2 linked regions of the Arabidopsis thaliana genome follow. The protein of the gene in region 1 purifies or fractionates together with the protein of each later gene. This does not show direct contact. Each region holds a gene or a part of one and is shown on either strand. Other genes may lie near its edges. The genes, in order: PGY2 and SUMO3.

Region 1 (4,080 bases):
AAAACTTAAAACAAGCCACGACTAAAGACTAAAAATATTAATCTTAAGCCAATTTCATCAATCAACAAGCTACATAAAGAGGTTGTCTAAAAGCATTTTCTGTGAAAAATGGCTGGCCCTGATCCCTCGTAATCTGCCTTTGATATCCACACCAAACATCAGTACTTTGTGTGAATAACTTGAATCATCATCACACGGTTAAAGAGTTTACGGTACCTGTTGGAATGTGCTAAGAGAAGCCAAGATGGATCCTCCAATATTCTTCTCAGGTGGTGCAACCACCTGCTGCTAGGTGCCAACCCCGTGATCTCTTTGGTTATCCGATCAGCAATTCCTGGAAACATGGTTGATCCGCCACTGAGCACAATGTTAACATACTAGTCCTTTCTGATGTCGAAATCACATTTCATGATTAAATTATAAGTTGTCTCATGAATCCTCGGTGCTTCCAATATGATAAACGATGGTTGAAAGAGGACTTCTGGAAAGCAGAATCATTCTGCACTAATATTGATCACCTGACCATCAGGGCGTCTCGTAGCTTTTCTCAAATTGCAAAGCTCGCTTTCGTTGTCTCAAGTTATCTTTATGTTTGATCACAGCGTTGCGAGAAATTGATTTTAGTTTAGTGACTGAAGTATCAATTTTGAATGCACAACCCACAATGCCAAATCCAGAACAATCCCAAATTCACACGATATGATTTAATTAAGCAAAGGTGAAAATGATAGCTCGTCTCCAAAACTTGTGCATAAGTAAATAAAATCTCGAACACAAAAAGGGAACAAGGGATAGCCAGAGTTTTGCAACACCGGTGGATTTGGTCCATAAAACGAAACTAACATTCAAAAGACAAGAAATAGGAGCTAAGACGATGATATGGGCATTCATTCTTCCTCTACGATCTTGCTTTTCTCGCTAACATAGATACCATCAAGAAACTTCCTGATATCCTTCTTCTTCACGTGACATTTCTGCACAACAATCACAACATAAAAGATTACAACAAAGACTTGAACACGTAAATCAATCACTGAAATGATCCTTTTGATTTCACTATGCAAAAATGTGATCCTAAACTCAAACATCAACCAAAAAAACACTTTCATACACAATGCTGAAAAGCTTAAGAAGCCAAACAATAGGCAAAATTGGCAAAGTTTACTTAGCGAGTAATCTAATCGTCTATTAGAGACCTATAGAGATAATACAAATCGATTTTCACTTCATTTATGCAAAATCTGATTCCTAGAACTGAACCGTGTCACCTATCTAACACAATCTCTCAACCTTTTAGTCCCAAGAAAATGCAAATTTGGCTAGATAACACCTAAATCTCTTTGATACCAGCTAGTTAGAGAGAGTACCTGGTTGATCAAAGCGCATGACCTTGAAACAAGCTCGATGTCGTTACCGTCAAGAACAATCTCATCCTTCACCTTCTCAGATCGAACAATGGTTACACCATCCAACATCTCTACCTTCCTCACCTATTATTCCAATAAACACATTTCTATGTAAGTTCAGTGCTCGCAAACTCAGAAATCAATCATCATCGTCCAATCATAAAGTTGAATCTAGTGTCAGTCTATTTCATTCCGAGATCTACACGAATCTATGAGAATCAAATCAGAGATGAAGAAGATAAAACAAACCTTCTTCTCGCCAAGGAAGTTACGGATCTCGATAGACTTTCCGTCACCGCCGATGGAGGCGTTGATGGGAAAATGGGCGTACACGAACCTCATCTTGTAACGGAAACCTCTGGTAACACCGGAGATCAAGTTATCGACGTGGCTAAGAGCGGTTCTGATGGAGGCGCTGGTTTTGCGTGTTCCAAACCACGAATCGATCTTAAGCTTCTTCTTTCCAGTCTCTGGATCCTTGATCAGCTGGAAATCGAGGTTGAGATGCTTGAAATCGCGAACAAGCTTCCCGCGAGGTCCTTCGACTTCGATCACTTTAGCGTGAACCTTGATGGTAACACTGTCGGGGATGTCCATCGTTTCGGAAGAAAGAATCGTCTTCATCTTCTCCGATCTTTGTTTTGCTCTCCCTGACGGCTCTCTGGTTTGATCAAAGAAACCCTAGAGGGAGATTTCTCGACGGCGTTTTAAAAGGTATCAAGAGAAAAAACCCTAAATATCTTTCATATGTGGGCCTTTATCAAAATTCAGCCCACTAAAATCGTGCCCATAAAGAAAACCAAAAATGAGAAAAATACATTATTTACAATAAGCCCATGGCCCGTTAAAAATATTGGGCTGGAATGACGGAAGTGGTGCTCTCTCTCCTTCTCAAGAAAAATGACGGCGTCAGAAGTGGGTCAGAAGTGGGTTTAAAAGTGGGTTTTACTAAGAGACTAATCAGAAGTGGGTTTAAAAGTACACCCATTCCTAGCCCAATAAAACTGAAGCCCAGGAAACACCCAAAATATATTATTGGCAATAACAGGTCATATATATGCCAATTAATATAATCAAGTACCAATAGAATGCATGCTATTCGGCTTTTTCTGGATTCGGGTAATTCGAATTAGAGAGTTTAGTATCCTTTCAGATGGATAAGATTAGATATTTATGTATTCGGGTTGATCGGGTTCAGATCAAATAGAGGAGTTTAGGATTTAATTGAGTAAATATATATAAAAATTGGTTCAGTTTGGTTCGGTCTATCAAGTTTAGGTCGAAAGAAAACACCATTGTCGAAAGAAAGCCGTAGCAAACCACCACTGAATTAGCCACAGATCGAGTCACCGTACCAAACGCAAACAACATATTATTTTCTCTTTGCTCTCTCTTCGATTTGCTCTCTCTCTCACGACGGCTAAAGGCAGAAACCCTAGTTTATGAATCGTCGGAAGCAATTTAAAGATAGAGACGCAGAAACCCTAAAGCAAATGTGGGCTTATTAAAACTCAAAAGTGAGAAAAGTTTATTATTGTCATTAAGCCCATGACCCGTTAATAATATTGTGTCAGAATTAGGCCTTTTGAACTTTCTATAATGATGTAAGTGGCGCCAATTTCATCATTTTTGTTTCTACTTTTCACGTTTATTTTCTCCATTTTTTACCTTTCAAAACTCTTTGTAATCATTTTCTTTTGTTGAATAAATTTGACATTCCAACAAAAAATTATTTACAAAAAAATTATTTAACTTGTATTAAAGCATAAACCTTAGAAAATTATTCACTGGCCGCATTTTAAAAAGTATAAAGAAGAAAAACAGAAACTCTAAAACAATGTCATGTGGGCTTATCAAAATCAGCTCAACTCGTGTCGAGAAACAAAAATCCTAAAATGAAAAATAAATAGATTATTTGCAACAAGCTCATGGCCCGTTAATTGTTTTTTTTATATATTTTCAAACAAAGCCAACGGAGAAATAATTCAAGTTTGCTCTTTGTTTGCTCTCTCTGCGCTTCTCCCACTCGCCGACAGCTTTTTAGAGAAAGAGAGGTTAGAAGAAACTTATATCTAAATGAGTTAGTATGTGGGCTGGCGGCCCGGTCCATTTGAAAGCAGTCCGTTCCGGGCCAGACCAAATAATAATTTATCATTGCTTTAAAGAACAAAATAACAAAAGTCGAATAAATTAGAGAAATTGTCATAAATAGCACCAAATCAAGTTATGAGTAGCCGGCAAAAAAAAAAAAATCAAGTTATGAGTATATCATACTTTAAAATTTTATTATATAAAATTTGCTTTTCAAAGTAATTAACACTTGGTTTTGAACCCACGCGTAATATAATTTGGTGAAAAGTATATATTATTGATTATAGTATTAAAATTTCTAATAAAGTAAACATTTTATTTTAAATATACCATATTAAAAATTATAAAAATCAATAGAGTTAAGAATCAATTTTGATAAAAAAATTACGCGTGGATTTATAACCTAGTAAATTTAAAATCATGCGACCAAAACGAAGCAAGCAGCAATATTAAGACCATAAACATTCGAGAAGTACACAAGCTTTTTATTTTTCAAAATATAGATTTATTCATAAGTTAAAGCAATGAAAATAAAATAAAAATCTACCAAATATTTGCCAGAGATTTTGTAAAGTTGATCAAT
Region 2 (3,495 bases), on another chromosome or scaffold:
TACAATTATGAGTCAAAACATAATTCACAATTCTCAGATAACTTTTGTTTGCTTCAAATTTAAGCCAATTAAAAGTCACGCTTACACAATAATCACTACCTCATAGACAAGCTAACCAGAATAGAAATTGGGAATAACGCAGACAAACTCAAAACCCTAGAATTGAAGCAATCAGAAGCTATAAAGATCCTAATCACACTCAAAACTTTAACCAGACAACGAATCGTTACACAATGCAAGAAATAGAAGTCGAGAGAGTGAGTGAGAAATAGAAAACCTGTCCCTTGACTTTGAGATTGATGTGAGCTCCTTGGTCAGGCTTCTTGTCTTCTTCCGGAGTAGCAGACATCTTACTTTATTATCAGATTATACGGTCGGCGATTGGAAACAAGAACTTCGATCTGCGATATAAGCGAAGCCCTAAGAGAGATTCGCGGGATTGCAGAACTTGAGGGTTTGAGGGAGAGAGAGAGACTCGGCAGAGAATAAAAAAGACTGAAACCACTATCTTTGGTCGCATCGGATTCTTGTTTATCTAACGGTTCATAATCATTGATCTATATCATTCGACGGCTGTGAGTGAGTATAATCTCTAACTTAAAATGATGTCGTTTTAGCATTCTTAATGGGCTCAAATGGGCTGGTTACTTCTGTGTCTACCCAAGAATTTTAAAATGTGAAAATCTCAGCTTTCGAGTAGATTTGTTTGAGTTGGGAAAAGTGAAGATGTTCAAAGTGAACCGTTTGATTTTGATCAAACCAGTAAAGATTTCAATTGTTTAATATGGTTTTGTTGTGTGACCTTTTACAATTAGCCAACTTGAGTTTTAGAGGTTTTGATGAGTTGTTTATTCACGGTTGTAAAATTAACAAAGTACAAAGATTCTAAAAATCCGTAACCAGATACCATTAATATCATAATTCATAAGATCCAATCACTCATGAGTCATTTACACACACGATAACCGACCATGATTTAAACTTCAAGTAATTTTGCTTGAAGAAAGTAGTCAAATATCACAAAGCCAGCCAAATTATTCCTAATTAAAGCCCATTATGATCGAAAAGCATATAAGACCACTGACGCTGATTTGCTCGTAGACCACCACTCATCGCCCGGCACGCATCTATCACATCTCCATCTTCCATATCAAGCTTTAAAATTGGAGAATCTTGGTTTAGTAAATGATACACTTTTGACAAACATATAAATTGTAAAAGGGAAATGAAAAAGAGAGTGATTTGCCTCATCTGGAGTCTCCAGGCCACCTATACGAGCTCCATTAAAAATGAAAGCGAATGCGTCTAATTTCAAACCTCGGCGGTCGCAGTAAACATACATGAGCTTTTTAAGTGGAGCGCTTTTTTTGTTCTTAAATAAGACTTCGTCTCCATCCTTAGTATCACCAATCAAGAAAAAAGATTTTAATCACTCTATACTTTAGATCATCACAGTTTGGAAAAGAGTATCATCAAAGTTTTCATATCAAGAAACTGTATATATAGTATTATCAACCAAGCAGCAACGACAGAAAATTTCAAGGAGATTAAAGAGGGAACACAGTGAAAAAACCTGGCTCTTGACCTTGAGAATGACATGAGCTTCTTGTTCTTGGTCGATGGGCTTGTCATCTTGAGGGTTAGACATCTTTCCTTTTATCAGATTTTATGAAACAAAAACTCCAGTCTGTGAGAAATACGAAGGCCTGATAGAGAGATTCACAATACAGTATTGCAAAATAAGGGGTTGACTTTTGAGAAAGAGAGACTTGTCAAAAAAGTGACTGAAACCAGTTCTTGATCGCACTCACTTTTGATCTACAGATTCTTGTGGTGATATATCGAACGGCTCATAATCATTGTAGCTTATCATCCGACGGCTAGGAGAGCGTGGAATTCGTACATGAAAACACTGCCGTTTAATCAAGCATTCGTAATGGGCTATTGGGCTGGTTTAAGATCAAATATGCTCATATGTGGGCTTAATTACTTCTACACAGTATATAAAGTTGGAACCCATTTTCGTGAACCGACCAAATAGTTTTTAGAAAATTTATAAATCATATTTAAAAATAAAATCTAATTACCACGGTAATCTAATAATTTCAAAAAAAATACAACAGTTAGAAACTTTTAAAAATCTTAGCAAACATAACTTTTGTGGTATTTTAAAAAGAAACTCAAAATTATGATATTATTTGACAAAGTTTAGGGCAAGCTCTCTTTATAAAATTTATATATTTCTTGATGTTCTAAACTTCTAATGCATGCATGGTTATTATTTAATATTAAAAAATAATGTACGTCGACCGTCATAGTGTGTAAATGGTTAGTCTATGTTTCGTGACGACTTCTATTTCGGCCCGACATAATATATTTCCAGTTTTTAATTTGATAAACTAATAGGCATTGTATCGTAACGTAAAGATCAGGGACAATGCTAACATTCCTATCTAAAACTCAATTTGTTGGACAGCATCCAAGTGACCTACCACATTGAATTCTTTCTCTTGGTTGATAAGAAACTAATAATGATGATGTTATATTTATACGAATATATTAGTTAACGTTTATATTTAGAAATTCGTCATAAACTCATAATAGTTACAAATAAGTCAATCTGAAGGTGACACACCTCTCTGGATATTATAATGTTTTCAATTTTCATATGGACTTGTCATTGTGTTTCATTTTCAATTTCATGTACCGACTTAAGACTTAAGGGCCTTGTCGAAACATACCGTACGATGTCGACAACCTCCATAGATACATTATTAAATTATTGTTACTTTCATAATCCAAAAATTAAATTGTTATACTAAAGTATATGTAAACCAGCATACATTGATACATATAAGATTACCACCTAGTGGACAAGTTGATACACAAACAAAAACATGTATATAATCATCAAATACAATATTACCAAATGATGATGTCTATTATTTTCTCTTTTGATAGTGGAGTTATTATGATGTCTACTCTTAATTAGTTTCATTATTCAGGTCTCAATCACCGAAGATAAAACTATATTTCAAACTGTAGTAGTAATTACCGTATGTGTATTAACATTCTATGCCTATATGTACATAACCGTTAATATTCGGCCACAATTATTAAATTCAAATAAATCTAAAAAGCATCTTTCACCAAGTAATTAGTAAAACTAGCCGTAAATGTCATCCAAAATTCTTGGTTTTACATCAGAAGGAAACATTAATTGCTTAGCGATAGAGTTCTATTTGTATAGGACAACTAAACTCTACAAATATCGTTTTTTGTTTATCCATGGACGGAGATGGACCATTTAGATTAATTCATTATTATACTACTGGAAAATAATTTGAGGTGTTTGCTTAGCTTAGCTAACCTTAAAATGTTCATTTTTCCTCCGCACATCTAAACGCGTTCATTAGCCCAATTTGCTAAGTCAAAATATTAGTTACAACCAACTTGTGAATCAGTCAATGTTACTATCAAATATTTCATATAAAT

What was found.
Region 2: the proteins of PGY2 (region 1) and SUMO3 purify together in Arabidopsis thaliana (affinity purification with western blotting, with the first as the bait; one study listed by BioGRID). This does not show direct contact.

The regions. Positions count from the first base shown.
Region 1 is NC_003070.9:12,021,310-12,025,389, reverse strand, and holds PGY2 (Ribosomal protein L6 family), read right to left. Parts: upstream 2,166-4,080; 5' UTR 2,031-2,165; coding exon 1,656-2,030; intron 1,491-1,655; coding exon 1,368-1,490; intron 975-1,367; coding exon 888-974; 3' UTR 607-887; downstream 1-606.
Region 2 is NC_003076.8:22,384,424-22,387,918, forward strand, and holds SUMO3 (small ubiquitin-like modifier 3), read right to left. Parts: upstream 1,783-3,495; 5' UTR 1,649-1,782; coding exon 1,574-1,648; intron 1,397-1,573; coding exon 1,247-1,396; coding exon of another isoform or gene 1,156-1,246; coding exon 1,045-1,155; 3' UTR 834-1,044; downstream 1-833. Other genes in the region: SUMO2 (small ubiquitin-like modifier 2), read right to left, coding at 278-349. UniProt on the Arabidopsis thaliana protein: Ubiquitin-like protein which can be covalently attached to target lysines as a monomer. Does not seem to be involved in protein degradation and may function as an antagonist of ubiquitin in the degradation process.